Linked DNA regions of Tribolium castaneum. The protein of the gene in region 1 purifies or fractionates together with the protein of each later gene. This does not show direct contact. Links are inferred from orthologs where the notes say so. Each region holds a gene or a part of one and is shown in the gene's direction. Other genes may lie near its edges.

Region 1 (3,362 bases):
AGTGATAACGCTAATTTAATGCCTCTATAAGAAGCATTTTGTAACCTTTTCGCTGTGTCCGGGGGCGGCAACAGATAAAAATACATTTGAACGCCAATATTACGAACGCTCGAATGTAACAAACAAAATTGAAAGTCCCGTTTTATATTATAGTAAAAAATCAGTTCGGTTTTAACGAATAATTGAACCTCGCTTACAACGAATGCTGGCTTTTAACGTCCAATATTTAGACAAAAAACTGGTCTAAACATTTTCGATATTGCAGAATGATTTCAAAAGTGAAACATACCTTAAAAACAGCTAAGGTGTTAAGTACAAACACAAATCATTAAATAAATAAAATATTTGTTATAGGTATACATATGTATAACTATGAACTCATGTAATTATATAGCTTTTAATAAAATATAATCATACTTTATTTCATAACGTATATCTATCTTAAACTTTAGAACTCATTTATCTTGAAAATTACTCCATATGTTAAAACGAACGATCGGTTACAACAAACAAATTCGGAAGTCACTTAGGTGTTCGTTGTAACTAAGTTTCACTGTATTATTAATTGACGCGCTTGTAGTATTTATGGCTCTACAATCTTGCATTAGGTGTAACTTAATAAACTTAAAATACAAAATTAATTAATTTTTTTTAATATCTGAACTTTTTTTAATCAGTCAATCAAATAGCAAATTCAGTTCTAGCACAAATTCTCTAAAAATGCAAGATAATTCTGAAAATCACATGGGAAAACCTGAAACAATTCTTAGTAATGTCACCAAACATGTACTAGGTATTAAATGTTCTCATTTATATTCTGAGATATGTTAAAAAATCAGCCTGTATTTATTTATGAAGTTTTAAAAAAAAAAGCGTAGCTATTTTGCACTTTTTTCTACAATATTAGTTGTACGTGTACGTTGTCGCTGACTTAAAAACTTTTTCTGTAGATATTTGCATTAGGTACTCAGGCTTGTTCTCTGTTTACTTATTGTGAATTTAATATAATATAATTTGAAACTATTAAAAACATCTTAAAACTCATTATTTCAACCATAAAAAATCAGAACCTTTAGTTTGCAATTTATTTAAAAAATAAAGCTTGTAACAAAAAAATTCTAAAATTCTGTCGTTCTGGGCTATAGCCCATTTTCTCCTTATGTAAATATGCGACTGCTAATAAGTAATGAGAGCATAAGAGAAATTCGTATTTGCACGTATTTGGAGGACATCTTTTTTGAAACACACAGTATAAACAAATTTTAAAGTAGCTTGTGCCATCTCTTGGATAGTTGCCAAACATACCATTTCAATTTTACAGTTTTTCTTAACTTTTTGGGTTTTTTACAATATATTTTTGAGTTGTTTATGTTTTAGTAATAAGCGTGGTGAAAAATTTGCGGTAAAAAAAGCTGATTATGATTATTTCCAAAAAAAACAAATATTAAAAAATTTAACCGTGGATACAAACCAAAAGTGCAGATCGGTTTTGAGAGCATGCGTGTTGTTTGTTTTGCATTTGTCAAAAATGTCAAAACGAAAATTCAACGAAGGCGATTTTTCGCAAAATAAGCGGCGCCAGGTGAAGTTTAACGCAAAAAAACATTCCTTGGATTCGGACGAAGAGGACGATTACGATGAGACCGCTGAAGAGCTCAACGCCGACGACATCGAGGGCGAAGAGGAGGGAATTTCGCGTCAGGTTGAAGGGGTCCGGATGACCGCCTTCAACATGAAAGAGGAGATGGAAGAAGGGCATTTCGACAAAGAGGGCCACTTTATTTGGAACAACGAGAAGGAAATACGGGATAATTGGTTGGACAACATCGACTGGCATAAAGTCAACAGTGACGATAAGTACCAGTTGGACCCCAACGAGAAAGGCTTGGGGGCCGAGAGTGATTCTGAGTCGGAAGCTGAGGATTTCGATGAGGTCGGTTTGTACAAAAAGATGCTCAACTACATGAAACCCAAAGAAACGGTCAACAAGTGTTTGAGGCGGTTAGGGGGCGATTTGAAGTTGTCCAGTGTCGAGAGACTGAAGCGCAAGAAGGCAGGGACTTTGAATTCGAATCAGGATGTGGCGGACATGACCGAGATCGCGAATAGTATATTAACGAAGACGGGGAACATGAACGTATACCAGGAGACTTTTGAAGAAATTACCAAAAAAATTGACGACCGAACGAAACCGAAAAACAGTGAGCCTGTTCTGGACATGTATGCTGACGACTTCGGCGACAAGGAGAAGGAGAAGATGGAGACGGCGTCAGTGTCAGGTAAACCAGAGCAGTTAATGTGGGAATTTAAGTGGGACCAAGACAAGGACCAAGTCGAGGGTCCGTACGACACCTCACAAATGTTAAAGTGGTCCAAAGAAGGGTACTTCAAGACGGGAGTGTGGGTGCGTAAGTGTGGCGAACAATCCAACTTTTACACCTCGAACCGGATAGACTTCGAGCTGTATGACTAACAGTGTTATAAAAATTTTATTATCAATATACATAAAAAGTCAAGCAATTTGCTTAAAGGCACTTAATTACATTCCGTTGTAAGCCGGGCCGCCACCTCCTTCGGGAACCACCCAGTTGATGTTCTGACTCGGGTCTTTAATATCGCAAGTTTTGCAATGTATACAGTTCTGGGCGTTGATTTGCAGCCTTTGACCGTCCCCACTTTCAAGCGGGACGAATTCGTACACTCCTGCTGGACAAAACCGGCCTTCAGGCCCGTCATAAATGCCCAAATTTTGCTTAACAGGAACGGTATCGTCCTTCAGGGTTAGATGCGGGGGTTGGTCACCTTCATGATTGGTCCCAGTCAGCGCAACGGAAGAGAGGAGATCGAAGCTGATTTTACCGTCAGGCTTCGGATAATCGATAGGTGTACAGTCTTTGGCCGGTTTGAGTCTCTTGTAATCGGGATCGCCATGTTTGAAAGTCCACGGTTCCATCCCCCCAATCATTATGGAAAATCCACTGTACATCACTCCTCCATACATCCCCAAAGGATTATGGAAGCTGGGTCGTACGTTCCTCACCCGTTTCAAGTCTTTCCAAATGAAACTGTTCTTAACTTTGTCTGGATAGCTCTTCGGTTCAAAACCTTCAGTTTCTTGTTTTTCGCTATTAATGGCTTCGTAGGCGCTTTCCGCAGCCAACATCCCACTTTTCATGGCATAATGCGTGCCTTTGATTTTTGGTACATTGAGGAAGCCGGCCGAACACCCAACGAGACATCCTCCAGGGAACGTCAGTTTGGGAATACTCTGGAAGCCACCTTCGTTCAAAGCACGCGCCCCATAGGCAATACGTGTACCTCCCTCGAAGTAGTGTTTGACGCTAGGGTGGTGCTTGAACCTT
Region 2 (2,849 bases), on another chromosome or scaffold:
ATGGGTAAGTATAGAGGTATAAAGCTAATGAAGAAATAACTAAAAAAGAAATAGTGACCTAATAGTGCACTTAGAGTCGCCCTGACTGCCTATAGAGACGCTGTATCTCTATGCCATTTGAGCATTTGAAAATTGGGAAAAAACACTCAACCCCTATGCACAGATTTCATATAAATGATCCTTTGGTCCTTTGGGATCGGCTAGGGCTCATTAACATCAATTTTGTATCGTTTTGGCATTAATTTTGAGATTTTTCTCGCCTAATTCTAGTTTTTGGGGCTATTAAGACTCAAACAACACTTTACACTTCATCACAGTTTGGAAAATATAAATAATATAAATAAAAATAATCTCCGGTGCAAATAAAAAAATTAAGGTTCAAAGAGGTTTTGGGCCGCAAAGGTGTAGCACTTACCTTACCCAAATTGAAAAATGTGTCTTTTGAGCCGGTTTTTCCCCGAGTATTCTCCATAAACACAGTCAAGGGGCAGGTCGTTGTGCGCATCGCGCCAGGTCACAGTCTGCGCGCCCGCACTTTCAAATTCACAAATATTCCACAAAAACAGGTGCCCCACTTTGCATTTTTGAACCACCCAGTCCAAATAATCACTAGTTTCGTTCGATTTTCTGAGAGATAACAACACTGACTGACAATCACGCGATGACAACTGTTAAAAGCAGCATCCATTTGGTGCAAAGTCAAAGCACTCTTGGCAATTTTTTCTTAAGTGTGATTTCAGGCATTTATCTAACTTTTTGAGCAAAATAACCCTTCCTATTCAGTAAAGAGTTGATTTAAATGTCGTTTCACATCTTTATATCGAGTTTATAGCTTGTCGTTTTTTTCTTTAAAGTCACGTAAAATTATCCCGCCAAAACCAAAATTGTGTCATTAAGGGTAACAATGACAAAGAAAGACCTATTGACGATTGTGTGTGTGTAAGACACGGCGCAACTCCTCATATTAGCTATTTCAAAACTATAAAAACGCCAACCTCGTATTTTCTCTCAAAATTAGTTGTTATAAATTATTTATGCACTTCAAAAAACTAATAGGTAATGTTATTTATAGTCTCAATGATTTATTTATTAATAACTATTTTACATTTTTATCAACCTTATTAAAAAAAAATTGAGTTTATGAGACACCAAGTTCAAAAAAAATATATAAAAAACTATCACGTCAAAGAAAGCTAAATGAGAATAAAAAAAATTTTTTTCGAGACATTTACGCCCATCTGATGATAATTATGGAATAACTCAGCTTGATTAGTTAAGGAAAACCCAAAATATAAATTGTGCGACTATAATTCTGCGTGAATAATTTTGGAAAAAAAATGGGACGTTGGTGTTTTTATAGTTTCGAAACAGCCTAAAAACGACCAAACCACCAGACCTTTTTCTGGTGTATTTCAGCTCGTCAAGCTTCCCGCGTTCCACGATTGCCAACAGAATACAGAACTCACACAGATAACCTTACTTTGGTCGTATTGTAAGCGTCGCCTCATTTTTTAAGTTTTATAAATACTATTGCAAACTTTGAACAAGTTTTTTTCTCTTAATACGAATAATTCGTGCTGTGTGAAAGTGTGTTTGCACTTAGCTTCCTTAAAGAACTTTTTTTGCCGGTAACCCAAGACTCCTCTAACCATGGCGTACAAACCACAAAAAGTTCAAAAAGTGATGGTACAACCCATCAACTTAATTTTTCGTTACTTACAAAACCGTTCACGTGTACAAGTGTGGTTATACGAGAACATTAATCTGAGAATCGAGGGGCACATTGTGGGTTTTGATGAATACATGAATCTTGTGCTGGATGATGCTGAGGAATATTACGTTAAAACGAAGAACAGGAGGCAGCTGGGAAGAATCATGCTTAAAGGAGATAACATAACGCTGATACAGAACGTGAATCCTCAATCAGGCAATTAGTTGTAAATTGTAGCGTAATTCTAAGTTTCATAACAATTTTTTCATTCGTTGGAGTAATGTGTTTGTATGAAAACCGCAATTGGTCTTAGTATTAAGTGATTCATCAACTTTCTGTAAAAGAAATGCGGACATTAAAATTATTTTAGTAATTATGTCTATTTTTATAACTTCAAAGTCCTTAAAATTAAAATGTGATGGACAATACAGGTAATTATCGCTTTTTTAGAATTGTGAAGCTTGTAGGTGTTCCAATATATTTTTTTTGTAGGGGGTAAAGCTGCGACAGGTTTTGTCGAACGTTGCGTCAGCTACATTGGCGAAAATGCTGTAGAATGTGTAAAAACAAACTCATTTCTTTCTCTTCCCAAAGAAGCAGTCTTAAAATTAATCTCCTCAGATTATGTAAGTTTTAAAATTTTACTTAAAATCATTTATTACTGTTTCAATTTAGCTCTGTTTGGAGGAAGAGGATGTCTGGAGAGCAATTTTAAACTGGGCAAAGTACCAAGCTGGTGTCACCCAACCCACAGCCCATTGGACTGAAGAAGAGAGGGCCAGAGTGTGCCAGCACCTCTCACATGTCATTTCTCACGTCCGCTTACTTCTGATTGGTAAATTAAATTTTTTTTTTCTCTTATTTATTTGTAATATTATAGACAGCCAAGTTTTTGCCGAAGAAGTTGAACCAACTGGAGCCGTTCCAATGGAGCTCAGTTTGGAAAGGTACAGACATGCTGCGCTTCCTAGTAAATATCCTGAAGGAGCAGAGGACCAGAGACTGCGTCCAAGGGTATCACCTCACTTATTCCCGGGTTCGCTAATTCTGGGTCAGGATAAGAGTCACTACCAAAGGGTGCTCAATGCCTGGTTCGGTAATCCCAAGCAGAGTTGGAGACTTATTTACAGGGCTAGCA
Region 3 (3,182 bases), on another chromosome or scaffold:
TCCTAATTTTTTTTGTAAATTGACTACCACTTTATTTAATGTAGCATGATCAATTCTATAGAAAGCCTTTCTTATTCTTTCCTCTATATTTTTTGTGGTATTTGATCTCGTTTTATTTGATAAGTTTGTGGTTAAAGAGGGTTTGAGATTAAAAAAAATATGAGTTTTTTTGGTAATGTTTAAATATTTTATTATCTCTTCTTCCGGTCTCTTACCGAAAAATGCAAAATGCAGAGATTATAAGTTATTTAAACGAAGTGATTCAATGAATTTAAATTCCTTAGTCGACTTGAACAACCATTTTTGAACAGTCTGTACAAGTATACCTTTTTTAAAAATATTTCTTGTTTCGAAGAATAATTTAAAAAAAAATTTATTTCTTCTACAATGACCTCATCAGAGCAGGAACGGACAGTTTTAATATACCTACGAATTAAAAAATAAACTTGTAAATATTACAACTTACTTTTTTTAATCTAGTTTGTAACTAATTAGTTTAGCCAAGTGTTTTCACTGTTTTCACTGCTTGTTGCCACAAAAAATTAATAATTATTGAGTCACACTAATTTATTATTAATTTCATAATCCAATTTTATCCTTTTTTTTATTTAAATTTCATAATCGATCGTTCACTGGTAAATAACCACCTAGTCTTTTAACATAATTCAAAAAAGTAAAACTAGAAAATTTGTATCCAAAAATGACTTTTTGTAAATTTTTTGGGTAAAAATGGTTTTATTTAAGTAACATTTTAATAAAATTGTACTAATAAACTTGTACTTGCAACGTAGTCATTTGATAACTTAAAACTAACCGGAATTTTTCAGTTCTTTCGACAGAGGTCAGAGTTGCGACCGGACCCGAGATCTTGCGAAAATGATTATTACTAGTTTTGTGTTATCTATTCTAATATTGTAATAAATAACATAAATTAATCAGTAACAAGTGTTTTTCAAATACTTTAGGTAGGGGAGAGTGGGGTTATTATGTACAGTGAATAATTATGCCCAAATTTCTGTAGGTTAACCCTCTTATCCTATAATCTAATTTTGCCCATTATAATCGTGTCCACATAATTTCAGCAATTTTGAAGCCTCACTCAAAAACTGTCAAACTAAAAACGTATCTTTCTCATGTTATAGTTATAATTTAGGCGAAAACAAGTCAAAAATTACTTTTTTTAACTTTTCAGATAAGTATTTTCTAACTTCTTATTAACATATAATTTATATAATCGACCTAATCTTAAATTTTTCTCCGCAAAATGTATTCATACAGTGGAACCCCTGTCACCCGAACGGGGATAAACCGACTCCACCAATTATTTTGTTCAATTTCAAATTTTGAATTCGAAAAATTTTTATAACACGAATTTTTGTTTAATTAATTAATTAACTAAAAACACGCAACTAATAAAAATTAAGAACAAGAACACTAGATGCACTAGAGAGAGTTGAGATTTTTAAGGTAAACACTTTGTTGGATTAGTTAAAAAAATTGCTCATATTATAATAACAGGAATCACTTGAACTCAACAAAAGTATTATTCCACTGTATTCTACAAAGATGATTTGAAGTGGCAACGGCCTATTCGGGTGATCGAAGTTCGACTGTATAAAGCAAAATATTTCATTGTTACTACGTGCCAATAGCAAGGTTATTTTGATAATAGCTGTGATAATAGTAAATAATAAAGAATTGTTTTTATTTTCAGAGTCCATAATTATCTGCAAACCTATAAAAAAAATAACGATTTAAAATTGGCGCCACGTAAGTGGCGCTCCCTTCGCAAGTTTTCTTGCCATCTCTTTCTTATATGCTCATTCTCTTTCCCTCTATGGAAGAGGGGGGGTAAAAAAACGTAAGCCAAGCGTGTTTTGCCGGCATAATATAAAAATTGTCTTAATTACACCAAAAATATCAACATGAAATTAGTAAGGTGAGAACGTAAACTACTGATTGATCAGACACGTTTTTATTTCCTTGAATTCCAAGTAAAACTCCTGAAAAACCACCTAACCTAACATTTCGGCCATTTTCAGGTTTTTAATGAAACTGAGCCATGAAACGGTCACAATGGAGCTGAAAAACGGCACACAAGTCCATGGCACTATAACCGGTGTAGATGTGGCCATGAATACGCACTTAAAAGCTGTAAAAGTGACTGTAAAGAACCGAAATCCTGTGAACTTAGACACCCTAACAGTTAGAGGAAACAACATTCGTTACTACATTTTGCCCGATAGTTTACCCCTCGAGACTCTGCTGATTGACGACACCCCCAAAGCCAAGGCCAAGAAGAAGGAGAGCGCCCGGGGGGCTGCCAGAGGCCGCGGGAGGGGCCGTGGCAGAGGGGGCCCCCGAGGCAGGGGCAGAGGGAGAGGGCGTAGATAAGAATACGTTCATTAAATTAAGTTTCGTAATTGTAAGTGTGAATCTTTTCGTTTAGTTCCAGTATTTGTAAAACTTTTATAATTCTGCTAAATTCATCAATAAAACATATTTAGGTTTAAAATGTCTTTGTTATTAAAAATCGGGACCTTGTACTAAAATGTATAAAACGTAAACTGTGAAACAAACAAAACAGAAGGCGGCTACAAATGCGAATGATTTTCGATTGTGTCTGTGGAGTTGTGAAAGTTGGTTTTCGTTTGTGGTTAAAAGTTTGCGAACTTCTCGTAACTCTTTCTTCATGTCGGCTTTTTTCTCGTTGGGGATTTCATCAGATTCGATCTTTTTTTCTAAAAGTTGGACCCTCACGTAACAGGCTTTGATTGCTTCTTCTGTTTTTGTTATCTACAAATGGTTAAATGAGTTTGGTAAAATTAACGTTTTACTGATTACCTCCTTCATGACGGAACATTCTCCTAAAGATAGCCCCATTTTTCGGGTGGTCTTAAACACTGACTATCAATACAGAAACAGATGGACTATCACTTTATTTAACCTCAATTTTTTTTATATTAATAATTATTTTACAAATTTAGGAACATTCTCTTACTTTCAATACAAAAAGTTAAAGCTAAAACATTATCACTCATTCAGATTTGAGATAAGAAATATTTTCTCAAAATCAAAATAAATATAGAAATTGCTTGCCATCGAGTATGCAACCAACATTACAAGCCTGCATAACAGTGATGTCTAAATTAAAGCTTTTTTGGTATTTATGTGCTCGATTT
Region 4 (4,745 bases), on another chromosome or scaffold:
TCCATTCGTCAACAAAAGAACATCTGGTTGAACCTTCGCTTCTACCTGAACCAGAAACCCCTAAAAACTTAACGACCTGAATCCAATCCTTACAAAATCGAGAAACTCACTTTCGCTTCCTCGCAGGCACTTTGGCCATCGTCACCGACGGCATGATCTACGGCTGGTCGTCCCCCAGCCTCCCCCAGCTCAAAAACAACGAGACTTGCACCTTGTGCATTGACGAAAACCAGGGCTCCAACCTGGCCGTCATGCCCCTGGTGGGGGCGGTCATCGGCTCGCTCACCGCCGCCACCATCGTCGACATCCTGGGCCGCAAACGCACCATCCTTGCCACCGCCGTCCCCTTCTTCCTCTCCTGGATAATGGTGGCTTTCGCCCCCAGCATCGTCCTCCTCTACATCGCGCGTTTAATCGCCGGCATCGCCGACGGCGTCACCTTCACCGTCGTCCCCATGTACATCGGCGAGATCGCCGACCCCCAGGTGCGAGGGATGCTCGGCTCCAGCTGCTCCGTGACCTGGATCGCCGGTTTTCTCATCATAAATGTGATAGGGTCGTACCTTAGTATTAAAACCACGGCACTTGTGTCCTCAATTGTGCCGGCAATCCTATTTATTACATTCTTGTGGATGCCGGAAAGTCCGTACTATTTGTTAATGCGTGGGAGGGCGGACGAGGCCCGGAAATCACTAGAACGCCTCAAAAAACGCGAAAATGTCTCCGGGGATTTGAACCGAATCCGGAACGCAATCCAGGCTGAGGAAAAGTCGCACAATGGGAAATTCGTCGACTTGTTCCGGGTGAAGAGCAACCGGAAGGCCGTTTTCATCATCGGGGGGCTCCGGGGCTTCCAGCAATTGGCGGGGACCACGGCTATTGCCTTCTACACCCATGAGATTTTCCAAACTGCTGGGGACCACATTTCCGCACATTACGCTGTGATGATTTACTACTCCATCCAGTTGCTCCTCACAATGTTCTCCTCGAGTATTGTGGATAAGGCCGGTCGAAGACCACTGTTGATCATCTCAATGGCGGGGTCGGCGTTAGCCCTTTTTGTCGAAGGGACCTATTTTTATCTTTTGAACGAAACGGACATTGATACGAGCTCATTTTCGATCGTGGCCGTTGTGGGGCTTCTAGCTTTTGTGATAATTTTCAGTTTAGGGATGCAGTCAATCCCGATTTGTATGTTAGGGGAGTTGTTTCCCACAAATGTGAAAGCTTTTGCGCTTTGTTTGGCCGATGTTTACTTCAGTGTGATGGCCACAGTGGCCTCCAAGTACTTACAAATAACTAAAGTAGAATACGGACTACATGTCTCGTTTTACGGTTTCGGGATTTGTTCGCTACTTGGACTAGTTTTTATTTATTTCTTTGTGCCTGAAACGAAAGGAAAAACCCTCGAAGACATCCAGAAAAAACTGAGAGGGGAAGTCGAAGTTTGTGATGAACGAGGCGCCGAAGAAGAGAAAGTTAGTCTCAAAGCGTAATTTTATTGAATAAAGTACTTATTTTTTTACAATTTCGAATTTTATTGCATAACCAGATTGACATTATTATTGACACCGTTGACAGTAAATATAACCTTAAAGTTGCAAACACCACACAAAAACAGTCCTAGCGTGATTTAATCAAAAATTAATTAAAAAAGCGTGAATACGATGGAAGCGGACGATGAACCTGCCATGAAAAAGCCCAAGTTCGAGGAGCCCCAAGCCAAATCAAACTCCTCACAACGTAAGTACACATAACCTCGAAAACGCAACTGAAACGTTCAATTTTAGCCGAAATTGAGCCCCCTTCTGACAATTCGGACCGGAAAGGTACAAAAATCAATCGATTAAAGCGCCCTGTTCTATTATTGTCTATTCCAGGTGGGAAGCCCCAAACGCATCGACTGTGCCCCTATTTGGACACAATCAACCGGCAATATCTCGACTTTGATTTCGAAAAATTGTGCTCAGTGTCGTTGACTCGCATCAACGTTTATGCCTGTCTTGTTTGCGGAAAATATTTCCAAGGTAGAGGCACAAACACACATGCTTATACGCATTCGGTGGCCGAAGGCCACCACGTTTTCCTCAACTTGCACACCTTGAAGTTTTACTGCTTGCCCGACAATTATGAAATAATAGGTAATAAATACTCTCAATTGTAGTTTTGAAATTAAGTTGGCAACATTTTTCTTCAAATTTCAACAATTTTACCCAACTCACTTGATTCGAGCTGAAGTTTTACACCGAATTAGATTAAATCGTTTCAATAACGCGAATGTTTGAGAGGGCGCAATGCCAGTAACGCCCCCCTTCAAAAATAAAGTGAAATCTTCGTTTTGTCGCATTTTTCCGATTGGCATTTTATTGAATATCGTTTTGTATGCGTTTTCAACCGAAACTAACTCGAATTAAACCGAGTAATCGTGGAAAAAATACAAAAATGACTAACCTTAGCGTCGTCTAACTGAATTTTTTCAAAACCGGCTTCCAGCTTGCTGCTAACACACTTTGATAGTCTACACACGTCACATTTCCGATAAAAAGTCGATTTGAGTCGTTTTTGCCACTTAACACGCACAAAACACCGGTTTTTCAACACGCAAAAGCAAAAGGACGCGCACTTCGGCAGACAAGCTTCACTCTAACGCTGATGTCACGCCAACGGCACCTCATTGGCTGATTTGAAAATGACACTTGAGCGCGCGTGATTTGAAATTCGCGCGAAGTCTTCAATTGGGAGACTTTTTACAAAGATTAGGATTTATACGTTTTTACAATGTCATAATTCACGAATTTTGTAAAATAAATGCCTGTTTAGCTCAAAAACATGCATAATGGCTTAAAAAAAAAGGAAAAATGAGATAATTTGTGGCCTGATTTGGTAATTTTGCGGCTTGTTTGGCATTTCTGCCTGAAATAACAAGTTGGGATCTTCGGAAAAGACAAACATTATGTAATTATTGAATCCGTTTGGTGGTTTTTCGGTTAATTTTTGTGTTTTTTGTCTATTTTCGATAATCGTGTTGTCAATTTCTGAATTGAAAAAAGCAAATACTAGGAAATGTTCGGGGAAGTATTCGGTTTCAGTAATCAGTGTTGCCACTTAATTTCAAGCTCCAACGATTTTTTTCTAACAAAATTAAATTACTCACAGATTCGTCCCTCGACGACATTAAATACCTGCTCAACCCCACATTTACCGAACAACACATCAGTACATTGGACGTTAGCACAAAAATGTCCCGAGCAATTGATGGCCTACTTTACATGCCAGGAATCGTCGGTTTAAACAACATAAAAGCGAACGATTACTGTAATGTTGTTTTACAAGCCCTTTCACGTGTTGTCCCTTTACGTAATTACTTCCTCCGTGAGGAGAACTACAGCAAGATAAAACGCCCCCCAGGTGACTCCTCTTACCTCCTGGTGCAACGTTACGGTGAACTGATGCGTAAATTATGGAACCCCCGAAATTTCAAAGCCCACGTTTCGCCGCACGAAATGCTCCAAGCTGTGGTTTTGTGGAGCAAAAAGCGCTTCCAAATTACGGCACAAGGCGACCCCATTGATTTCCTTTCGTGGTTTTTGAACGCACTTCATCGGGCACTTAACGGCAATAAAAAGAAAAACAGTTCCATCATTTACCAGTCATTCCTCGGAAACATGAAAATTTACACCAGGAAAATACCACCGACCGAGCTTGACGACAGACAGAAACGCATGCTTTTGTCAACTCCAGAGTACCAGGAGATCATCACCGAGTCACCCTTCTTGTACCTCACCTGCGACTTGCCTCCACCGCCTCTCTTCATCGACGAGTTCCGGGAGAATATCATCCCCCAGGTGAACTTGTACCAGCTCCTCACCAAGTTCAACGGACAGACCGAGAAGGAGTACAAGACTTACAAGGAGAATTTCCTCAAGAAGTTTGAGATTACGCGTTTGCCGCCTTATTTAATCTTGTATATTAAGAGGTTTACGAAGAACACGTTCTACGTGGAGAAGAATCCAACCATTGTGAATTTTCCGGTTAGGAATGTTGATTTTGGCGAGTTTTTGACGCCCGAAGTTAAGGCCAAACATAAACATACGGTCTATGATCTAGTGGCGAATATTGTGCATGATGGAGAGCCGGGGAAAGGCACTTACAGGGTTCATATTTTGCAAAAATCAACGGGCAAGTGGTACGAGATGCAGGACTTGCATGTGACGGATATTTTGCCGCAGATGATTACGCTGACGGAGGCTTATATACAAATTTATGAGCTAAGATTAGAAAAGTAATTTTTTACGAATAAAATTCTATCACCGGAATTTTTGTCTTTTATTTGTCCCTCCCTGATTTTTTTCTGTAATGAAACGTTTAGTCCAGAGAGCGGTTTGTTTTTGGCCTGATTTGGTCAAAAAGCTTTTGAGAAATCAGTCAAATCTTTAGTTCTTGAACATACAGATTAGTTATATTTAAAAGATGAATGCTTTATTATTAATTTTTTGTGAGACATTGTTCAAATAAGTTCGGTAAACTATTCGATTAAAAAAATATTTCGTGAATAAATAAGGAAATGCAATTGGATTTTAAGATCTTTATTTATAATTCTGCCTTGCCAGTTCTGGATTGAACTGATTATTGTACTTTTTGCCCCCAGTTTGAGGCTTCTCTTTTTCTTCCTCCGTCTTTTCCCCGCGTAATTTGGCCAAAAGCCCTTCAGTTCTCTTTCTCTCTTCCCTCTCACGTTTCAACCT
Region 5 (4,568 bases), on another chromosome or scaffold:
TTGTTTGTATTGGTATTGGTATTTTGTTCATTTACTCAGGGCCGCCACGAGAAGTGCTATTTTATTTGTTATCTGTTCATAAAAGGTATATATTAGCTATTTCAAAATTATAAAAACGCCAACGTCGCATTTTCTCTCAAAATTATAACTAATGTAATTTATACTTTCAATGAGAGATCGAATCGTTAATAACTATTTTACATTTCTATACTTATTCAAATTAAGAAGTAATAGAGATTTGTGGTGATTGTGATTAACTGATTACTGACTAGGTTCAATAAATAAAGGAACAAATATTTATTTATTAGAAGAATTTTAAGTTTGACATAAAATGTATGTATTAAAATGACATAATAAACATTTTCGTATATCCCAAAACCTGAAGAGTTTTTTAAAAAACTGTACTTTTTTAACCCAAATTTACAAATTGTGTAACTATACTGTAACTTTATATTCAAACAAATTAATACTGTGTGATTTTCTAAAATATTGGTCTAGTTATCCGTGACAGTTACGTTAACCCGATCTCCATTACGGAAATAAGATTCCAACATATTTTTTTTGGTTCTTCGGTGAACATTTTAGACATATTGACAAATAAAGCGATGCTAAAGTTATTTATGCAAAATGTTTCATTGATGACGTATCTGTCATGGATAACTAGATCAGAATTTTAAAAAGTCGGTTGGTAGTTTATTATAATAAGATAACAGATAAATTGCTTCGATTTGAAGCATTGAACTATCGTAGATGCCAAATAATTTTTAATTTTAAAAATGATCGCTTCCCTGTTGAATAGAAAACGGGTAATGAATAGGAATTAAATTATTTATTAAAAGATTTTCTAATATATTTTGTGGGTTTTTGCAATTATTTTCTAAAAAATGAATCTTAAAGCGTTAATTCCGTTAAATAAATCGGAAACCATTTTTAAGCTTTACGTGTAAGTCTTTACAATTTTTTGCTGTCTAAATCTTCTTAAAAAATTGAAGTTATTCACAAATACAAATGCATCGTTTTTAAAAAGAAGACACAACTTGATCCAAAATTTAATAAGAAAGTAAATTTTTTAAATATTTCTGTCATCTACCACAACTTCGTTAAGATGAATATAAGGTGTTCGTTTGTAGTCAAAAAGTTTTATTTCTTTTCTTCGGCATACAGTTTTATTCAATCCGGTTTTATTAAAATTAGTTGGTGCTTTGGCGTCCTCTGACTCCTTTTTATTTTTATTTGTATGCTTTTTTCCATTTATTTTTGTTTATTTTTAAAAACAACTATCTTAATATTCTAATTTAAAATGGTATTTAAAAGAGCTTTTGGCGAAGCAAGTTTGCTCTTATGTTCTTATAGTTATAGTTTTTACCAAAAAGTTGACTAAAATAAAAAAAAAGTTTTTTTTATTTAAATAACATGGCTTGAAACTACAATAACAACTGTTTTTTTAGTGATATATGTGTCCGGAAAAGTACTCTTTCACGGACTATATTCCGTCCCTTCACTAATTAATAATTATATTGTTTTTTTTCATTATCCCCAAATTAATAAGCAGATTATTATAGACAACCAGTAATTCAGCCCCACATTACAAGTAATCTATGGACACTTGTCAATTTGTAAACTGCATTTTTCTAACCTCACTTCCAAGTGTTGTGTGAACGTTTTGGAGTTACGTTTTTAACTCGCTAAAATGTCTTTGGCCGACGAATTATTGGCTGATTTGGAAGAAAACGATCAAGATGATTTGGAAGAAGCGATGGAAGTTGATGAAAAACCGGACATCAAAGAAGAAAAACCCGACGTTAAAGACATCCAGTTAGAGGTAGACACAACTCAAATAACTTCAGTCCGAGAGTTGTGTAAATTACGGGACTCGCCCCATTTACATGAAATATTGAAACAAATCGAAGACCATGTGAAGAAGAGCCGAAAATACCACGACATCATAGGACCAGTTGAGTTGGACCCTGAGTATCAACTGATCGTCGAAGCTAACAACATTGCTGCAGATATAGACGCGGAAATTGGTAAGAGTTACGATTTTAACCAAATCAGTTGAAACTAATCTGTTTTATTGAAGCCACTGTCCATAAATTTGTGCGCGACAAGTACCAGAAGCGGTTCCCCGAGTTGGACTCCCTTGTTGTTGGTCCTTTGGAGTACTTGAAGACCGTCAAAGAGCTCGGGAATGACTTAGACCAAGCCAAAAATAATGAAATTTTGCAACAATTCCTAACGCAGGCAACTATCATGGTTGTCTCAGTCACGGCATCCACGACACAGGGGATTCTCCTAACGGACGTCGAAAAGAAACAAATCGACGAAGCTTGCGACATGGCCATAGACTTGAACAACTTCAAACTGAAAATTTACGAATACGTTGAGAGTCGGATGGCTTTCATCGCCCCCAACTTGTCGGCGATTCTTGGGGCTTCGATCGCCGCCAAGCTCATGGGGGTTGCCGGGGGTTTGACCCGATTGTCCAAAATTCCGGCCTGTAACGTGCAATTGTTGGGCCAACAGAAGAAGGCATTGTCTGGATTTTCACAAGTGAATATGTTGCCGCACACTGGTTTCGTTTATTACGCAGATATCGTGCAAAATACTCCGCCTGATTTGAGAAGGAAGGCTGCCAGACTTGTTGCCACTAAATGCACGCTAGCAGCACGTGTGGACTCGTGTCATGAGAGTAAAGACGGACGTATTGGGCGGCAATTACGCGACGAAATTGAACGAAAACTGGACAAGTTGTTGGAACCACCCCCAGTTAAGTTTATCAAGCCGCTGCCGAAACCTATCGACCAGTCCAAGAAGAAAAGGGGCGGGAAAAGAGTCCGCAAAATGAAAGAGAGATATGCGATGACTGAGTTCAGGAAACATGCCAATAGAATGAACTTCGCTGATGTAAGTTTGGTTTTTCTTGTATTAAATTTTTCTAGTATTGAAAATATTTCTTACATTGAAAATTACACAATATTGTTAGCCAATCTACTGTTGAAGCAGCATTATAGTTTCATTAGATTTTGATAACATACTAGAGATCACAATCTTCTTTGCAAAAAGTTTTCTATGGGTTTGATGAAAATGCAGTTTTATTATTCTCTTGATACTTACAAGACCGGTATCAATAAGTTGTAACGAATAAGCGAAACACATAACTTCAGGTGTACCCCAGTGCTCAGTTTTGGGCCCAATCCTTTTTTTAATTGGGGTGTTCGATGTTTTAACGAAATAACTCCAGTTTTAGTCTTTTTGAGAAAAATATAGAAACGTATGCTATAAAATTTTCTCTTTCAAATGCAATAACTGGTTTTGTAATCGATTGATTTATTTTAATGTCATTAAACAGTAACAGTTGTTATAACACCGAAAATTTGTGGACATTTATTCAGTGCAATAATGAGATAAGTCCATCAATCGTTTTTTTACTAGTCTAGTGATTATTGTTAAATATAATGTATTAAAGCTTCCGTATTATAACTTATGTCAAAATAAGTTTAAAAAAAATAGAGACAAAAATGCAGTAGTAACATTGAATTGAGTTAAATTTTCACGGGTTTTTAAAAACCAAACGGCTTTCAATTTGAAAAAAAAGCGGTTTCGTCTGTAATTCTGTACTGCATTCCTCCTCTTCGCGTTTTATACTAATTTTTATTTATTTATTTTTCAAACAAAATCGATTACCATGATACTGAATGGAATCAAATAAACAATGATCTAAAAAGAATAGCCAAACATTGCAGTAATGTTAACTTAAAACTCAATGAAAATAAATATTCAGTCTTATACTTTGCATCTAAAAGTTGTAAATATTTTGAAGAATAATATATTAATATTTATATTATTAGTAATAAATTAAACGTTCTTGCAAAAAGAAAATCTCTAGGACTTACATTGACAGTGGAAAACACATTATTCATTATCAAAAAATGGTTCATCTCCTTGAAACTCTTACGTTCTAATTATCACATTCAGATTTCAAATTGAGAAATAAACTTATTGAAACTTTGGTAATTCTCCTTTATCTATTATTGCTTTATAATCTTATCCTTGTTTAAATGATGTTGATAGTTGAAAATAGATTATACAAAATTCAAAATATAATGTTATATATACAAAATTCAAAATATAATGTTATATTTTGAATTTTGTATCTTTGGCTTAAAAAAAATGTGATTACATTTCTAAGGTCGAGTTGTATCATCTTTAGTCCTGATTTAAATCCCTAACAATTATTCTCATAACAATGGCTATGGGTTTAATCCTGAAATTTTTTATACAACTCGACCTAAGTGTGTTTCTGACTTAATGTTGGAACTTCGGGATAAGATACTTGAGACTTCTAATAAAAGTATATTTAATATGAAAGTAAATCGAAATACAAAATGACGGAATTGATAAAAATATACACGGCACACTCTTATAAACAAAACTGTGGTTCACACGGAAACGAAACGCGACTCGTGAAACTTAGATGTCCAACACTTCCCCTCGAGTCGTGTGTCGTTAGAATGAATACTTCCAAAAAAAAAAAATTCATCCTTCCACTAAAACTTCTGGCAACTATC
Region 6 (4,728 bases), on another chromosome or scaffold:
GTTGTAGTGGTGGAAAGCCTCGCTGTCCTTGTTCAAATTGACGTAGCAGTCGCCCAGCATCTGGTGGATGCGCGAGGTGGGGTGCTGTTCCACGTGCTTCAGCAGGAGCTGCCGAGCTTGGTCGTACTGCTGCTCCTGCTCGAGCAACTCCACGAGCATACAGACGGCCTTAGTGGAAAACGTCTTGTCTTGGCTCACGGCCTTCTCGAGGAGGTTTCGCACCGTTTTCCCGGACGTCATCGGGTCTTTGAGTAAAACGGAGGCGTGCAACTGCAGTGAAACTATTTTTTGTAATTGTTGTTATTTGAGGAATAAATAAGAAAACAACTTAATGGCGCCTAATCCGTTTCGACACCTAAAGCAAAGACAACGTCCCATCCCGATATTCCTCTCAGATAGCGCATTAGTTTGCCAGATGAAGGCAAACGAAAAAAAAGTGATACGTTTTTAAAATAATTCGTCCCAAAAAAACAGTCTAACAGCCAATTCTCTCTTTACCGTATTACAATTTTTTCACTTACCGTAACCGAATGTGGGCTGAAATTGAGCTGTTTGCACGCATTTTGCGCCATGGAGTCGGCCTCCCTCAGCCGATTCATCTTCACATAGCACTCGACCAAACACTGGTGCAAGTCGTATCGAAACGGACAGATCTGGATCGCTTCCGTGCAATGCTGGGCGGCATCCTGGTACTTGCTGAGCTCCACCAGCGTCTTGGCTTTCAGCAGCAACGCCTCTATGTTTTTGGGCGAGGCACAAAGCGCCTGCTGTGCGAAATAAACGGCTTTTTCGTGCCGTCTCGTCGAAAACATCAGATTGCCAATGACCACCCAATGCTCACTCGTCCACAGCGACATATCCGAGGTCGGGATCAAATCCTCCAAATACTCAACGTGTTCGGAAGTCCCCGAGCTCGCCAAAAGCGTGGCCAGTAAATCGCGACCAAAGACTAGGTTCTGGTCGAGTTTAATCGCCCGCTGGAGGACTGCAATCGCCGTCTCGTCCTCACACATGTAGTGGTAGCAGTAGCCCAGGTTGACCAGCAGCGACGTGTTGTCTTTGAGTAGACCGTGGCTGTCCATGCTTTTGTACGTTTGGGCGGCGTTTTCGAAGTCGCGCGAGTACAACTGGGCTTGTGCTTTGAGCCAGAGGTTTAGCCAGTTTAGTTCGGAAGTTGCCTCCACCATTAGTGCGTTGACTTCGACCCCTTTCACCCCCAGCTTGAGCAAGTTCTCCACGGCTTCGAGGGCCAGCGGGCACTCCCGGAGCACCTCCTTGTAGCACGTTATGGCCGAGCGCTCCATCCCGGCCTCCCTGTACAAGTTGCCGAGCGCCATGTTGACTTTGGGGGTCCGCAGGCGGGCCTGAATCGACTGCAGCATCTCGATGGCCCCATTCACCTGCTTCAGGGCCATGCAGCACTTGTGTATCTTGAACCTGATCTCCACATCGCTGGCCAGTTCGGGCTGACTCTCCGTGATTTTATTAGACATTGACTTGGTTTTTAAGAGGTGTTTGCGGAGCTGTAAGGCCTGGCGGTACAAACTCTCGCTTTGGGCGAACTGTTGCGTCTCGTACAGCGAATCGGCGTACAGCAACATCACCTGGAACTTCTGCAAAGGGGGCAAAAAGTCGGGCTTTTGCTCGGACGCCGACAGGGCCAAGTCGCACTAAAAGCACAGTTGGGGGCTCAGACTCCCAAAAGGGGGCTACAAACCACTCGGGAGATGTTCGAGTGCAGGGCAAGCTCGTACATCGCCTGCAATTGCTTCAATAAGTTGGTCATCTTGGCTTGGCAAATGTGGGGTTAGGTTTTTGAACTCGGCAAATCCCGTAACGGCGAAACCACCAATCCGGATTTCGCGCACGTCAAAACGTTGCATTGACGTTGTGTACGGTAGGTATTTCCTTCAAATTTTGTAAAAAGGATGGGTTCTAGTAGCAAAAAATACAAAGAAAAAGAGAAAGAGTCTCGTAAGCGGCGCCACCACAGCCCCGGCTACACCGACGAGCATGAGCCCCCGAAGGAGAAGCGCCACCGCCACAAGAGGCACCACAGGGACAAGAAGCGCGACGCGAGGGCGAAGCACGACTACGACAGCGACGGTAAGCACCCCGCGTCCAACTTTCCCGTTTGAATGATTTTTTGCCAGGATCCGACGTGATCGAGGTGATTCCGGACGATGAGCCTTCGGGCTCCGGGCAAAACGCTGAGAGTCTCTCGATTGAGGAAACGAACAAACTGCGGGCGAAGCTCGGCCTGAAGCCGCTCGATGTGAGTTCGGGGGACAAGTCCGAGAAGAAACGGGATGACGGGAAGAAGAAGGACGATTGGGGCGAGTTTTACCACAAGCCGGCGGAGAATTGGGCGGATAAGCACGAGAGGGAGAAGCTGAAGGGCAAATTGACAACGATTCGGGAAAAGCGCCAGCTGGAGAATAAGCTGGGCAAGGTGAAGCTGCTGGGGGACAGTGATAGTGATGATAATGTGGAGTCGTGGGTTGATAAGAACCGCAAGATTGAATTGGCCAAGAAGGAGGCTGAGAAAAGGGCGAAAATGTTGGAGGAGTTGGATGAGCAGTTTGGGGTCAGCGAGTTTGTGGAGAATGAGAAGAAGGAGAAGAGGAAGCAGAGATACACTGAGAGGAATTTGAAAGGGCTGAGGGTGGAGCATGATGTTGATAGCTTTGCTGAGGAAAGGGATGTTATCTTGACGCTGCAAGACAAGGGCGTCTTGGATGAAGACAAGGAGGATGTCCTGGTCAATGTCAACATGGTTGAGGACGAGAGATACAAAAAGGTAATTTGTTACAAATATTTACAGTGAATGATTATTTATCATCAAATTTCAGAACGTTATAAACAAGAAGAAGAAGATTTTGTATAACGCCTACGAAGACCAGGAGTACGACGAGTTTGGCAACCCCAAAGAAAAGTCGCTTTTGGCCCAATACGACGAAACAATCGACGGCGAAAAACGCGAAAGCTTCAAAATCGGTTACGACAATGCGGTTGAACGTAAACAAGCAATCGTGCAATCAATTAAGGAAAAACTCGCCAAAAAAAGAATCGAATCGATTGAAACAAAAGATTTAAAACTCGCATCGGAATATTACAACGACGAGGAACTGTCCAAATTTAAAAAACCCAAAAAGAAAGTCCGCAAAATCCGAACTAAGGGAAAACTGACCGCTGATGAATTGGAGCAACAAATTAACAACAAAGGCATCGAGGAAGTCGGCTCAAGACGCCCAAAGAAAGAGCTCGAAGACTTGACCATTGACGACATCCCCGAAATGGAATACCCCACGGACGTCAAACTCGAGGACGAGAAGGACGATCTCTTGGAAAAAGCGCTGCACAAGACACGCAAAATCAAACAGAAGGAGAACCTCGTTGCTGAGATTGTTAAATCAACGCCGGTTAAAAGCGAAAGTGAGGAAAACCTGGAGGGGAGTATTGTTCTGAACGCCACGGCGGAGTTTTGCCGCACTTTGGGCGACATCCCAACGTACGGCAAGTCCGGCAACCGCGAGGAAACCGAAGATTTGATCGATTTCGAGCGTGATCTGAAAGACGAGCCCGAAATGGACGAAGTCGAGCAGGAGGAGAAAACCGGCTGGAATTCAGTCGATCCAAACGAGCCGCACGAAAGCCCGCAAATTGCCCCACAAGAGGTGCAAATCCTCGACGAAGAGCCTGATGTCAGTACAGGGCTTGGGGCAGCTTTGAAGCTTGCAATGAGCAAGGGGTACCTGGACAAGGAGCAGAATAAGAGGCCGTCGAATTCGCGGTTAGCGCATTTGCAAGCCAAGCATTACTCTATCGAGGACAAGACCTACGGGGATGAGGGCGATCGCGCGAACCGCCGGGAGAGGTACACTGGCCCCATTATGGAGTTTAAGGAGAAGGATGGGTTTAAGCCCAATGTTAAGTTGGAGTATATCGACGATGATGGGCACGTGTTGAACTCGAAGGAGGCCTTCAGGTATCTCTCGCATAAGTTCCACGGGAAAGGGCCGGGGAAAAATAAGATCGAGAAGAGGATAAAGAAGGGCGTGCAGGAGCAGTTGATGAAGAAGATGAGTTCGACGGATACGCCCTTAGGGACTTTGAATATGCTGCAAGCGAAGCAGAAGGAGACGCAGTCGCCGTATGTGGTCTTGTCGGGGAACAAGCAGAGCCAGCAAACGGCGGTTATTTCCAAAAGTCGGCGTTAAGTAAAATGACTAAGAATAAATAAATACTATAATTTTGTGTGAACAAAATTCAGCGCTACTCTAAAAAGAAGTGGCAATTTTAAATTAAGGAAAACTGGGCATCATTGTAAATTGTATAAATTGTTTCATTTTTATCAGTTTTTATTTACAAAGTCCTAACGAAAAGTGTTACGAAATGTTTTTGTTTTGTAGATCGTTTTTAAGGGACGGGTACGATAATGATAATGGTTTTATGAATAAGTTTTAAAGTCTGGCTCCCTACGAGTACAAACGGTGTAATAATTTTTGCGATAAATGAAATGAATTAAAAGTGAGTTCCGTGTTTTAATTAGAAATTACCAATTTCCCATATTTTCCAACAAAACGGTAATAAAGGAAAATATTGAACAGAAAGTTATAGTTAATTAAAAAAATAAATGGTTGATGACCAGCTCTCGACGTGACCTTTCACGTCACTTCCGTGAGCACCATTATCAGTCATGATTAGGATAGGGATTGCACGGTAATC
Region 7 (4,686 bases), on another chromosome or scaffold:
TTTTGTATAGTGAAGATAAATTTAAATTGTATAACATACTTATAAATATTATGTCCATTGAGAATATGTAATTTACATCCAAATGTGATGTATTTTATAGGAGCGTCTGAGTGAGTGGGATTTTAAGAAAACTGTTCTTTTAAACGAATGCCTGCAATTTCTGTATCGGTGTCAGAATGCGAGTTTTAATTGTAACAAGTAATTAAAAAATTAAAATTTGGGACTGTAGTATTTTTTACTAAGTCTCATTTCCAGCTGTGTAAGTGTATTTTTACAACTCTTTTGTCAGTAGTTGTGTGTGTCTTTCCTTGTTCCGGTTGTTTGGTTTATTTCCATTTTTTCAATTTGTAATCTCATGTGTAAAGAGACTGTACCCAGTACAGCTCCTACTGCAACCTCACAATACAACACTTACAAATATTGTCAGTTTTATTTATTCACCGAATTGTTGCGAAAATACTACAAATCCTACAACAAACAACGCTGCGAGTGAGGTTTAAAAACCATTCAATTTTCCTTTCTTTTTCTCCAAAAATTGAATTGTTTTTAGTTGTTCCACGACTTACGAAACAAGCAATATTACGTAGAAATTTGTTTTACCATTGTTTGGGTGAATTCAAGTTCGTTACACTTTTGTATAGTCACACTGAAAATGTCATTATTTGTAAGAAACAATAAAACTGACATAAAACTCTGACCAAGATATTTTCAAGGACTTTTATTGCAATACAGACTGATCTTCCTACTGCAACAGCCCAGCATAAAAATAGATTTTACACTTACTGTTTGTATTGTTCCTAAATATAAAATAGGTAAGTTTGGTTCCATACTTATTTACATTCACACTGCACTTATTTCACTGTTTATCGTAAAATTTTATTACAGCTGTAAAGTTGTTTTCCACTTCCTGCTTGACCAAACAAATCTATTCTCATGTTTGGATCAAGGAACCAAAATATAACGCATAAAATTATATTGTACACAGGCCATTCCAAATTTTAACGCCCGCCAAAAAAGAAATTAAAACTTAATCCCTTGTTAAAAGTTAATCCGCGGTGAATTTAAGCATCTGATTGGTCAAATTTAGTCACGCGATCAGTTTATCTGACTTTTGATTGCAAGTAACAAGAAACCTTTTTACACATATATTTTTATTTTCACAACAAACTCACAAAAATAAATAATACATTAATTTTTATCAAGCTATTATGCAACTGGTGATGGGCTGTTGTTTACAACTTCGTGGTTCTTTTCCTTGAGCCACTTCATCAATGATCGCAGAAAGGTCGTCATAGTCAGGATAAGCAAGGGTAGTTAATTTAGAATGAACCAAAGTCCCATTGACTTTAACTTCAAATGTGGCTCTCCTGCCTTCATGCCCATTCAGTTCAATATCGGGGTGTTTGGCTTTAATATGCTGCGCTAACTCTTCGAACTTTTTAAAATATCCACAAGTCCCACTACAAATAATCTCTGAAATGATATAAATAAAACTAAACCATCTCCATTTTTTTTACCAAAACTCAACATCGACTTCAACCCCCATTGTAAGTTAATCCAATCGAGGGATTATGGCCTCTCCCTTATTCTATGGCTATGGCTTTATGGCCCTTCCTGATTTTTTTATTTATTTACACTTGTCACATGCCCATAACCCCTAATTGTCATTTTGACATGGGGATTGTCATTGGGATATAGGGTATTTCCAGTTTGTTCCGTTGGTGTTGTCCAATTTTTGACTTCTAACCTAAAATCGTGTGTGTAAACGTTGGAAATCGTATCTTGATAATTGTTAAAAAAGCCAAAAATGTCGTACCTCTCCCGGCGAGAAGTGGAGGACTTGAAACCCTCTATAGACAAAGCCGTTTACAAACTGCTCGGCAGCAGTGATAGCTCCCTGGTCAGTACCGCAGTCCATTGTTTAAATTCAGGGTACGATAGGCGCAAAACTACTGACAAACTTTCGTCTTATGTTGATAGCAAAAAGGCGACAAGACTAGCCGAAAAGATATTTGATTTAGTCGAAGACTATCATGCCTCGCATCGGTCGAAAAAACGATCGCGTGACGATTCCCGAGAACGAGACTCAAAGCGCTCGAAATCGCGCTACGACGATAGAGACAGTAGACATGACTCCGACCGCAACAAATCCAAATCGAGCGAGATCATGGAAAGCGCCCAGAAACAAATCGAGGAGCGGAAGCGGGCCCTAATTGATGGGCTCGCCTTGGGCAAGAACAACATCAACATGAACATACCCCAGCCCAGCATTTACGGCATCCCCATGGGGCTCCTCAACAGGGGCGACGCCGACAAGGCCCGCAAAATCGCGCAACTGCAAGCCCAGATCAAGAGCAAGCTCTCCAGCGGGATTTTGACCAACGCCATACAAATACCAGTGGTGCCCAACAGGCCCACCCCCCTGATCCTGGACGACGAAGGGAGGACCATCGACAAGACGGGAAAAGCGGTGCAACTGACCCACGTTGTCCCAACACTTAAGGCCAACATCAGGGCCCAAAAGCGCGAACAGTTCAGGACGCAGTTGAGCGATAAAACGGACGACAGTAACGAAATGAAATTTTACGATGGGAGAATTGGGATAAAGCCGCCGATTCGGAACAAAAGACAGCTTAGGTTCCACGAACCCGGCAAATTTTTACAACAGGCCGAGCGGCTTCGTATGAAAGTATGTCTGGGTTTTTTGTGGAAGTGTGTTGGGTCATAATGAATTTTTTTTCAGGCCCAGTTGGAAAAACTGCAAAATGAAATTTCACAAATTGCGAAAAAGACCGGCATTTCGTCGGCTACTAAGCTTGCGCTTATTGCAAAGTCTGAGGGGGTGATTGAGGACATACCGCAGATGGAGTGGTGGGATTCCGTTATTTTGATCGATAATTTAGATTTGATGCTCAATGGGAAAATCGCAATAAAGGAATCTGTAATTACCACGTTGGTTGAGCATCCAACCCAGCTGAGGTGTCCAAGTAAGAACAACTATTTTTATTTTTTTATTTTCAGTCTCCCGTCGGGAAATACGTTGAGTTATATAAAAAAATGTGATTTATTCTCGGTTTCTTATATAAGAATTTTTCTGGTGTAATAAACGTAATGATAATGATAATTTTGGTTCAGTTTTGCGAAATTTCGGCTTATTGTGGGTGGAATTCTGTGAAACAAATAAACTGATTGCAAAACATTAGAATTTTTTACTTATTTTATTGATTATTCTGTCGCTTTTATTGACCTACTTTGGCGATTTTTCGGCTCAGTTTAATAAAATCCCTTGAAATAAGTATGTTTCTGGATAAAAAACGGACTACAGCGCTTGAAAGAGTAAAAGAAAATTTCACTTTTGAACTTATTCAGTGTTTTTGGATCCTGTTTACTGAATTTTCGTCGGAACAACTTCGTTTAAAACACGCAAAGGCCTCGAAAAAAGCAAAAAAAAACTATTAATGAGCTAATTATTGAATCTTTTGTCTGATTTAATTGAAATCCCCCTAAATAATTGTGTTCCTGACTGAAAAACTTGCTAAAACAAATGTCATTTTTGGCTTCATTTGCAGAAAAAAACTATTTTATTCCAACAATCTGTTTAAGTCTTTGAAAAAAGTGAAATATAACGCTGTTTTTTTATCTAGTTTGGTGATTTTTCGTCTTATTTTTGAAGAAATTCATCGAAAACTTGTTATACCTTCGGATGAAGCAAAAATAATGTAATACTTGCCCTAACTTAGTCTTTATTTGGCAATGTTTAGCGAAATTTCGCGAAAATTTAAGTCTTCTTGACCATACATCAGCATAATTTGACGATTTTCATTTTATTTCTGACCGAAATTTACCAAAATAATTGGATATCTGTCTAAAAAATGTGTTAAAACAATCGAAATGATCGAGAGTGATGTAATTTTTGGTTTATTTAGTGATTTTTTTTCCTCACTAAATTGACAACTTTTCGGATTATTTTAGTGAAATTCTTTGAAATAATTATTTCTAATTGAAAAACGTGTCAAAACGCCCGAAAGTTGAAGAAATAATGCCATTTTCAACCATATTTAGTGACTTTTGTTAGTAAATTTTCTCCAAAAAAAAAGTTTTTAGTTCAAGAACGTCTTTGAACTGTCGAAAAAAGCAAATGAAATACTTTTTTCGACATAATTTAGCGATTTCTAGGCTTGTTTGTAAAGATATTCTTCGAAATAATTGTTTCTGGCTCAAAATCTTGCGCTAAAACGCTCAAAAAAGAAGAAAATAATGTCATATTTGACCTTATTTAAATTATTTTTGAGTCACAGTTAGCGAATTTTCGCTAAAGAAAACTTAATTTCTTATCTTAAAAACACGTTTAAGCCCTCGAAAACAAAACAACATCCTAAGTTAACGATTTTCCAGCTTATTTTTGCAGAAATTCAACGGAATAATCACTCTCAATAAATGTGTTTTTCCTTAATTTCCTGACCTTATTTAAGTGATTTTTGGGTCCCAGGTAGTGAATTTTTGCCAAAAACCTTACATTTGATGATTTTTGAGCTCATTTTTGAATAAATTTGTCGACATCATTGCTTTTCTAGCTCACAAACTTGCTAAAACATTCGAACCTCGTTTTTGTCCATTTTTTGAGCTTATTATTTTAGCAATTTTTGGTCGAGTTTAGCGAAGATGGGGTTAAACGCTTGGAAAGAG

What was found.
Region 2: the proteins of holn1 (region 1) and SmE purify together in Homo sapiens (affinity purification with mass spectrometry; 3 studies listed by BioGRID and IntAct, counting the BioPlex papers as one, with this or other methods). This does not show direct contact. The link is inferred for Tribolium castaneum from reciprocal best matches to the Homo sapiens genes CD2BP2 and SNRPE.
Region 3: the proteins of holn1 (region 1) and SmD1 purify together in Homo sapiens (affinity purification with mass spectrometry; 3 studies listed by BioGRID and IntAct, counting the BioPlex papers as one, with this or other methods). This does not show direct contact. The link is inferred for Tribolium castaneum from reciprocal best matches to the Homo sapiens genes CD2BP2 and SNRPD1.
Region 4: the proteins of holn1 (region 1) and Usp39 purify together in Homo sapiens (affinity purification with mass spectrometry; 5 studies listed by BioGRID and IntAct, with this or other methods). This does not show direct contact. The link is inferred for Tribolium castaneum from reciprocal best matches to the Homo sapiens genes CD2BP2 and USP39.
Region 5: the proteins of holn1 (region 1) and Prp31 fractionate together in Homo sapiens (co-fractionation; 3 studies listed by BioGRID, with this or other methods). This does not show direct contact. The link is inferred for Tribolium castaneum from reciprocal best matches to the Homo sapiens genes CD2BP2 and PRPF31.
Region 6: the proteins of holn1 (region 1) and U4/U6.U5 tri-snRNP-associated protein 1 purify together in Homo sapiens (affinity purification with mass spectrometry; 4 studies listed by BioGRID and IntAct, with this or other methods). This does not show direct contact. The link is inferred for Tribolium castaneum from reciprocal best matches to the Homo sapiens genes CD2BP2 and SART1.
Region 7: the proteins of holn1 (region 1) and Prp3 purify together in Homo sapiens (affinity purification with mass spectrometry; 3 studies listed by BioGRID and IntAct, with this or other methods). This does not show direct contact. The link is inferred for Tribolium castaneum from reciprocal best matches to the Homo sapiens genes CD2BP2 and PRPF3.

What each region holds. Positions count from the first base shown.
Region 1 is NC_087402.1:7,512,301-7,515,662, reverse strand, and holds holn1 (CD2 antigen cytoplasmic tail-binding protein 2 homolog), read left to right. Parts: upstream 1-1,490; 5' UTR 1,491-1,528; coding exon 1,529-2,473; 3' UTR 2,474-2,520; downstream 2,521-3,362. Other genes in the region: Etf-QO (electron transfer flavoprotein-ubiquinone oxidoreductase, mitochondrial), read right to left, coding at 2,540-3,362. UniProt on the Homo sapiens protein: Involved in pre-mRNA splicing as component of the U5 snRNP complex that is involved in spliceosome assembly.
Region 2 is NC_087394.1:32,141,384-32,144,232, forward strand, and holds SmE (probable small nuclear ribonucleoprotein E), read left to right. Parts: upstream 1-1,433; 5' UTR 1,434-1,650; coding exon 1,651-1,935; 3' UTR 1,936-2,084; downstream 2,085-2,849. Other genes in the region: kelch-like protein 21, read left to right, coding at 2,204-2,337, 2,387-2,546, 2,592-2,849. UniProt on the Homo sapiens protein: Plays a role in pre-mRNA splicing as a core component of the spliceosomal U1, U2, U4 and U5 small nuclear ribonucleoproteins (snRNPs), the building blocks of the spliceosome.
Region 3 is NC_087394.1:7,020,190-7,023,371, reverse strand, and holds SmD1 (probable small nuclear ribonucleoprotein Sm D1), read left to right. Parts: upstream 1-1,784; 5' UTR 1,785-1,925; coding exon 1,926-1,939; intron 1,940-2,042; coding exon 2,043-2,394; 3' UTR 2,395-2,515; downstream 2,516-3,182. UniProt on the Homo sapiens protein: Plays a role in pre-mRNA splicing as a core component of the spliceosomal U1, U2, U4 and U5 small nuclear ribonucleoproteins (snRNPs), the building blocks of the spliceosome.
Region 4 is NC_087394.1:36,569,449-36,574,193, reverse strand, and holds Usp39 (ubiquitin carboxyl-terminal hydrolase 39), read left to right. Parts: upstream 1-1,523; 5' UTR 1,524-1,667; coding exon 1,668-1,743; intron 1,744-1,790; coding exon 1,791-1,829; intron 1,830-1,880; coding exon 1,881-2,141; intron 2,142-2,451; exon of another isoform or gene 2,452-2,695; intron 2,696-3,156; coding exon 3,157-4,286; 3' UTR 4,287-4,316; downstream 4,317-4,745. Other genes in the region: facilitated trehalose transporter Tret1, read left to right, coding at 127-1,496; leukocyte receptor cluster member 1 homolog, read right to left, coding at 4,587-4,745.
Region 5 is NC_087395.1:18,107,199-18,111,766, forward strand, and holds the start of Prp31 (U4/U6 small nuclear ribonucleoprotein Prp31), read left to right. Parts: upstream 1-1,595; 5' UTR 1,596-1,690; coding exon 1,691-2,027; intron 2,028-2,080; coding exon 2,081-2,904; intron 2,905-4,568. UniProt on the Homo sapiens protein: Involved in pre-mRNA splicing as component of the spliceosome. Required for the assembly of the U4/U5/U6 tri-snRNP complex, one of the building blocks of the spliceosome.
Region 6 is NC_087395.1:24,229,037-24,233,764, forward strand, and holds U4/U6.U5 tri-snRNP-associated protein 1, read left to right. Parts: upstream 1-1,928; coding exon 1,929-2,106; intron 2,107-2,153; coding exon 2,154-2,800; intron 2,801-2,852; coding exon 2,853-4,220; 3' UTR 4,221-4,534; downstream 4,535-4,728. Other genes in the region: APC7 (anaphase-promoting complex subunit 7), read right to left, coding at 1-270, 522-1,670, 1,718-1,786. UniProt on the Homo sapiens protein: Plays a role in mRNA splicing as a component of the U4/U6-U5 tri-snRNP, one of the building blocks of the spliceosome. May also bind to DNA.
Region 7 is NC_087397.1:1,256,977-1,261,662, forward strand, and holds the start of Prp3 (U4/U6 small nuclear ribonucleoprotein Prp3), read left to right. Parts: upstream 1-1,807; coding exon 1,808-2,689; intron 2,690-2,743; coding exon 2,744-2,987; intron 2,988-4,686. Other genes in the region: migration and invasion enhancer 1, read right to left, coding at 1,199-1,460, 1,518-1,546. UniProt on the Homo sapiens protein: Plays a role in pre-mRNA splicing as component of the U4/U6-U5 tri-snRNP complex that is involved in spliceosome assembly, and as component of the precatalytic spliceosome (spliceosome B complex).